2 linked regions of the Sus scrofa genome follow. The protein of the gene in region 1 interacts with the protein of each later gene in a pairwise test. Links are inferred from orthologs where the notes say so. Each region holds a gene or a part of one and is shown on either strand. Other genes may lie near its edges.

Region 1 (4,457 bases):
ACACTGCCACTATTTTTGGGCAGGGTAGATACTGGTAGATACTCATTGAATTTATACTATATGGCATACATTGTTTTAAGAACTTTGTGTGTATTTTAATTACAACAGTCCTGTGAGATAGTTATTATCTCCATTTTATGGTTAAGAAACCGAGTCACAGAAAGGTTATATAACCTTTCCAAGGTCACAGAGGATATAGTACATTTACTTGAGTAAGTGTACTCACAGAGGAGGAAAATTTGAAGCCAGTCAGACTACAGAATCTATGCTCTTAACCCCTATTTTATTTATTTATTTATTTATTTTTGTCTTTGCCATTTCTTGGGCCACTCCCGCGGCATGTGGAGATTCCCAGGCTAGGGGTCGAATCGGAGCTATAGCCACCGGCCTACACCAGAGCCACAGCAATGCGGAATCTGAGCCGCGTCTGCAACCTACACCACAGCTCAGGGCAACGCCAGACCCTTAACCCACTGAGCAAGGCCAGGGATCGAACCCGCAACCTCATGGTTCCTAGTCGGATTCGTTAACCACTGCGCCACGATGAGAACTCCTATAATATAACTCTTAACTCAGAAAAAGAATACTTGTTTTTATCCTCTATTTAGGTCAAGCGTAAAAAGGGAATGGATGTCTTAAGCTTCAAGTTCACAAATAAATTGAATTTTCTAGACGTGAGACTTTCTTTTCCTTACACATGCTGTTATCTACTCTAAATATATTGCTTGTTTATGGGATATCATTTATTCTCCCACTCAATGCCACATTATTTTGATTTGGGGATAAATGAGAAGACTGATTTTCCTCAATAACCTAGAGGATTCAGTTTCCTTCTCATTGAAAGCATACACACTAAAAAGTATGAACAAGTCCAAGCATTTATTTTTTCCTAATCAGCCTAAATGCATTTAAACCAAAACAATGAAATTGAGTGTTTACCTCAGATATCCCCTACCATCCCATTCAAGACATTGTAGTCCTGTTTCTAGGATTTCTCTCTCCTTCCCTTCTTGTCTTCCTTTGGGAAAATGCTTTAGGGTAGAAAGCAACAAACTAAATAGCAGTAGGCAAATAAAATCAGCTTTTATTTGCTTCCCCACCCAAAAAGGAAGGAGTAAGAACCCCAGCATCAAAGAGAACTGACGCGCTTAGGCCCTGTCGTTTTAAAAAGCCCTTGTTCCCTAAGCCCCCTTCCCCTAACCCCCCAGCTCTGCAGTAATTCCTCAGAGATCGTACAGTCTCCACTTTAAATATAAATATATATAAAACTTCCCCCTGTCTCTTTTTCCCCTCCTCTCTCTCCTTTTTTTTTTTTTTAATTCCTATAATAAAGTTTCCTATTGGATAAAATCAGCTCCCTGATTTATGCCTGGCTCCGATTGGAAGTTCCCAGGGGCTGACATCACTTAGGAAAGCGAGGGGTAGGGCTGCCAGATCAGTTTGTCACCACCCAGGCTCCCTAGCCTTTGGCTGGGTGCAACTTCCATTTTAGGTGTTGGATCTGAGAGAAAAAAAAAGAGGGAGAGAGAGAAAGAAGAGCAGGAAAGACCCTGAAAGGAGGAAGAGGTGGCGAAAAATCAACTCCCTTGCTGGATTTGTCTTTCTCAGCACGTTGACGAAGGCTTGGGTTTCTTTCTTAGAGGACTGGTTTCTAGAAGTCCACATTTGAGGTGTGTGCCTTTTTAAAAATATGTGTATAGATGGGTGAAGGAGGATAAGCCAAGTCGAATTTTTGTCTTAAGGTAACCGGAGGGAATTTAGAAACAAGAGATTCTGTTACGCTGATGGGTAACTTTTAAGCGGTTATTAATTTTCCTCATTTGGGGAATTTTGGTATTATATTTGAAACAAAGTAAAATATTCAAGAACCAGGAACAAACTTCTGGGTCTCTCTAATATAGGGAGATGAATAGATTCGGAGGGGTGAGGGCAATTCTGTAAATTTGCATTTTGGTGTGTTCTTTTATTTCATATTTTTTTTCTAGGTTAGGCTAACAAACTTCTGTTTTCAGAGCCCAAACCAAAAGTTGGGTTTTTTGGCATGTTGCGTGTGGGTTGGGAAAGGAATTTGTCCGGGTCGGAAGCTAGTTATTCATGTTTTAAAACTTTTTTTTCCCTCCCTTTAATCATTGGATTTGTGAAAGTGGAAAGTTGCAGGGAGTTTTGCAGCTTAAATGGTGGTATTTTTTCCTCTGGAGTTTGAACAGCCCAGATCAGTTTCAGCCCTGCTGTTCCTGGGTGGATCCTTCTTTTACTTTTCCAGGTGCGGTGGGTGGGAGCCTCATTCTCCGGCTAGACTTAGCTCCCTGCTTTGCCTTATAAAAGAAAACAAATGGATCCATGGTAACTGAATCGCCATCTCCTTCCTTCTACAACTACCTTGATGGCAAAGGTTTGTGGAGGTGTAGGTTGAGTTGGCATGTACGATAACCCTTGGTTTCTGTGCTTAAAGGGATAAGGAAATTCTAATCATGCTTTTGCGTTCACCTGAGTAAAGTGGCGATACACATGAAAATATTTTGAGCTTTGTGCTCTCTGAAAGGGCCTTGGATTAAAATAATGATAGGCTAAGACTAAAATACCTATACCAACTTTAGTGTTTAGAAGGCATTTGAGAAAGCAAAAGGGGAATTCTTACTTTTAAACCAAACTGAAAGTTGTTTTTTGGAGGTGAGTTTTTCCTTTGGTTAATTAGCCATGAAATCAGAAATCTGTAAGAGCTGAAGGCTCATGACTGTGCTTTCATATCTTCTATTTAATCTTAAGATTAGTTTTTGTTTTGCAAATACATTCTTTCAAAAATACTGATTCTAGATAATTGTATAGCCAACTCATCAGTAACTGAAAACTGGATGTTTTCTTCCATCTTCTTTGAAAATGAGAATCAGTCTGAAAACTAACTGCAGTAGATACTGCCCTAATTGTAAAAAGATGGGCCTGTGTTAGCTGCTCATTAGCTTTAAACTGGTATGTATGTATAATAATCCTCTGATTTTGTGCCCCTCACCCCTCAATTCTTTTTAGACTAGAATACTTCCTTGGATTTCTTTTCCAGAACAAAAGTGTTTCTTGAAAGATGAGTTCATTCTTACAAGGTTGTGTCTTCAAGGGAAACAGAACTTTGTTTCTCCGTTTAATATAATTTATGCAAGAGCTACAGTAAGATTTTAATGTCTGTATAATTAGGAGTATCTCCTAATTATAGCAAGCGCAGTTACAAAGAAAAAAAGGACAATGTGTACAGTCCATTGGGCTGTAGTTCTTATTTCATTTCCAAATTTTCTTTCAAATGCTCTCTCTGCCTTGACGCCAGCCTAAGGGGGGTGGGGGGGTTCTTGGATCTTTGGAGGATTGGTCATGTTGCTGCCAGAGTGTTGGTTTCCCACTCAACCTTTAGGGGGAGGAATGAGGGAATTTGAAGGAGTACAAAGGCAGTTTGAAAATAGGTTCTGGCTGACTGAATGGTAGTAGTGCTTTGGGTCCAGCTTTAAATACTGGGCTTTGTGTAGCTGCAGTGAGCATTCTAGTTGACTAGCGACCAGGACTATTTCCACGAACTGAGGCATTGTTTTGACTGGGTGTGTACTACTGGAACCTTTTGGATGATAAGATGGAAGAAGACTTGTCTTTTACCTCACCTCTACCTGTTCTTCTAGGAGATATAATAAGGGATGTGAATAAGTAAATCTGTTATTTTTTGTTTGGCTCCTCATTTTGACTTGGGGGTGAAAAATGACGAGTAAGTATGAGTTGTACAGATTTTTCTTTGCTTGTGTGACTCCTATATACTGTTGGTTTCTTTGTTACATGACTAAGGTATGGCCTGTGTTCCAGGTGGGGGTCTCTTTTGGATGCTTAGAGTCCTAGTGCCTTTCCTAGAGTTCCAATTATGGAGAGTCAGGGGGTTAGAACATATTCTTTCAGCTAGGATAAAAATTGGAAACCTTTAAAAAAAAAAAAAGCTTCGAGTAATCGCAATTCAGCGTTAGGTTTATAAGGTAGTTGCTCTCTAGGGATGAGAGATGGGATGGATGTGCAAATACATTAAGCATGGAAATAACAAAATGATTAGCTTTGTATAATTTACTGCTTTCTATTTTGGTACCTGGTAGTCCCCTGTTACCTACTGCCAGCCCTCCCTCCCCCAACCCCCGGCTTGTTTTTTTGCTGAGTGCTAAGCATTTTGCATAAACTATTTGCTTAATTTTCCACAACAACCCTTTGTTGTTGTTGTTGTTGTTTGTTTTTTAAGGAATTTGAGCTTCAGAGAAGCTGAGGTTTGCTGAAAATTTTACTGCTTGTAAATGGCCAAGGCCAGGATTAAACCCTGGTCTGGACTAACTACAAAGTTCTTGGATTTAACCACTAAAACACTGCCATTCTCTAGGGAGGATAGAAACGAGCCAGAACTGAAATGAGCCCTTGCTAGAGGCGGGAGGGTTTCATTTTGCTGAGGG
Region 2 (3,286 bases), on another chromosome or scaffold:
AGCTGCCGGCCTATGCCACAGCCACAGCAGCTCTGGATCCGAGCCACGTCTGCGACCTACACCACAGCTCACAGCAACGCCGGATCCTTAACCCACTGAGCAAGGCCAGGGATCGAACCTGCGACCTCATGGATCCTAGTCGGATTCGTTAACCCTGAGCCACAACGGGAACTCCAAGACCATATGTTTCAGACCCAGTATTGCACACACCAAGCCTCTCTGACATTCAAATCATTCATTTATAGGTGAAATAGCTTTTAAGTGTTCCTAATGAAGATTCTTAAAGTTTTAAGACAGTTAAAAATTAACTCTTAGTTTTCTTGAGGAGAAAATTCAAAATTGGAACTAAGAAAATTAATGTGTTTAAAAATTGCTTAGTGGTGATGCATGTGTCAGATACAAAGAAAGAGATTAGTGTTCAGATCTGCAGATCAGTTTAAAACTTGCTTGTTTCTTCTCAGGCAGGAGTCGTGAGCTTGACGTGTGGTCCAAAAACCAGCTGGTATAAAGAATTTATATAAAAACCAAAAAGTTTTGCCAAACTTTGGTTAAAACGAACAAACTATTTAATGATGCTGTAGCTCAAATTCTGAATGATGAAGTACTTTTGTTTTTCTTTCCTAATCTCCCATCCCCTCCTCTTCCCTTTCTCTTACAGGCATGGAGAGTAGAAAACTGATTTCTGCTACAGACATTCAATACTCTGGCAGTCTGCTGAACTCCCTGAATGAGCAGCGTGGCCATGGACTTTTCTGTGATGTCACCGTTATTGTGGAAGACCGAAAATTCCGAGCCCACAGGAACATTCTTTCAGCTTCTAGTACTTATTTCCATCAGCTCTTCTCAGTTGCCGGGCAAGTTGTTGAACTGAGCTTTATAAGAGCAGAGATCTTTGCAGAAATTCTCAATTATATCTATAGTTCTAAAATTGTTCGTGTTAGATCAGATTTACTTGATGAGTTAATTAAATCAGGGCAGTTGTTAGGAGTGAAGTTTATAGCAGAGCTTGGTGTCCCATTGTCACAGGTTAAAAGCATCTCAGGTACCCCTCAAGATGGTAATGCAGAAACCTTACCTCCTGGTTCTAGTGACAAGAACCTTGAAATACAGAAATCAAAAGATGAAGCCCAAGATAATGGGGCCACTATAATGCCTATTATAACAGAGTCTTTTTCCTTATCTGCTGAAGATTATGAGACAAAAAAGATCATTGTTACTGATTCAGATGATGATGACGATGACGTCATTTTCTGCTCTGAGATTTTGCCTGCAAAGGAGACTTTGCCGAGTAACAATGCGGTGGCACAGGCCCAGCCTAACCCAGGCTCTGTTGCTATTTCAGATGTTGCACCTTGTGCGAGCAGTAGCTCTCCCCCTTTAACAAGTATCACGCCTCCTCAGAAACTTCCTACTTCTGTGAATCAGGCAACTCTGAGCCAAACACAGGGAAGTGAAAAATTGCTGGTATCTTCGGCCCCAACACATCTGACTCCCAACATTATTCTGTTAAATCAGACACCACTTACCAACCCACCAAATGTCAGTTCTTCACTTCCAAATCATATGTCTCCTTCAATCAATTTACTTGTGCCGAATCAGCAGCCACCAAACAATGCTGTTTTAACAGGAAACAAGGCCAATGAAGAGGAGGAGGAAGAAATTATAGATGATGATGATGACACTATTAGCTCCAGTCCAGATTCGGCGGTCAGTAATACATCTTTGGTCCCACAGGCTGAGATCCCCCAAAATACCACTTTTGATGGATCATTGATACAGAAGATGCAGGTTCCTACACTTCTGCAAGAGCCACTTTCCAATTCTTTAAAAATTTCAGATATAATTACTAGAAACACTAATGATCCAGGTTTAGGATCAAAACATCTCACGGAGGGTCAGAAGATTATTACTTTAGATACAGCTACTGAAATTGAAGGCTTGTCGACGGGTTGCAAGGTTTATGCGAATATTGGTGAAGATACTTATGATATAGTGATCCCTGTCAAAGATGACCCTGACGAAGGGGAGGCCAGGCTTGAGAATGAGATACCAAAAACATCTAGCAGTGAGACGGCAAATAAACGTATGAAAGTAAAACATGATGATCACTATGAGTTAATAGTAGATGGAAGGGTCTATTATATCTGTATTGTATGCAAAAGGTCGTATGTCTGTCTGACAAGCTTGCGGAGACATTTTAACATTCATTCTTGGGAGAAGAAGTATCCTTGCCGTTACTGTGAGAAGGTATTTCCTCTTGCAGAATATCGTACAAAGCATGAAATTCATCACACGGGGGAGCGAAGGTATCAGTGTTTGGCCTGTGGCAAATCTTTCATCAACTATCAGTTTATGTCTTCACACATAAAGTCAGTTCATAGTCAAGATCCTTCTGGAGACTCGAAGCTTTATCGTTTACATCCATGCAGGTCTTTACAGATCAGACAATATGCATACCTTTCTGATAGGTCAGGCACTATGCCTGTAATGAAGGATGATGGTATTGGGTATAAGGTTGATGCTGGGAAAGAACCTCCAGTAGGGACCACATCTGCTCCTCAGAACAAGCCAATGACCTGGGAAGATATTTTTATTCAGCAGGAAAATGATTCAATTTTTAAACAGAATGTAACAGATGGCAGTACTGAGTTTGAATTTATAATACCAGAATCTTATTGAACTCCTTTGAAATTTCAGAAAGTTTTGGTTTTGATTAGGGGGCAGGGCTTTCAGAAGACCTGTAAAACAAAGGTTCTCAAGTTAATAGGATCTGCCACGTCACCTGAAGGTAGTCTAGCTGGATTATTTGTTGATAATTTTTAGAAGCAAGTTATTCTGAAAGTTTGAATAGAGATGGAGCAGTTTTTCCCCCAAGTATCTGTTTATATAGTTAGCTTTCAGCACATTCAAAAGAGGCAAAAAAAAAAAAAGCTTGGAGAGATAGTTTCCTGAATAGAATTTGAAGCAGTCTGAATGTTTGAAAATAACTGGAGTTATTAGCATACATACCCTAGTTTATCTTGCAACTTACCCCTTCTGTGTTAGCACTTTACTGCTGAATTCTCAATTTTCTTAATATTGAGACTATAAATGTGTGTTGTGTCTTGTATATGGCATAAAAAGTAAACAAGAACTTTTAAAGTTGTCCTGGAAATTTTCAAAATAAGTCTCTGCTTGGTTGTCTTGGCTGTGTATTCTGCTGGTCCAAATGGCCTCCTGCCCCTCATGAAAATGGCCATGCAGACAGGTCTCTCATTTGAAAAATGAATTAGTTTTAGCTAATCAG

The links.
Region 2: the proteins of CTNND1 (region 1) and ZBTB33 interact in binary tests that used the Homo sapiens proteins (3 or more experiments, as listed by UniProt). The link is inferred for Sus scrofa from reciprocal best matches to the Homo sapiens genes CTNND1 and ZBTB33.

Annotation. Positions count from the first base shown.
Region 1 is NC_010444.4:13,206,198-13,210,654, reverse strand, and holds the start of CTNND1 (catenin delta-1), read left to right. Parts: upstream 1-1,423; 5' UTR 1,424-1,670; intron 1,671-4,457. UniProt on the Homo sapiens protein: Key regulator of cell-cell adhesion that associates with and regulates the cell adhesion properties of both C-, E- and N-cadherins, being critical for their surface stability.
Region 2 is NC_010461.5:98,408,103-98,411,388, forward strand, and holds part of ZBTB33 (transcriptional regulator Kaiso), read left to right. Parts: intron 1-658; 5' UTR 659-660; coding exon 661-2,679; 3' UTR 2,680-3,286. UniProt on the Homo sapiens protein: Transcriptional regulator with bimodal DNA-binding specificity.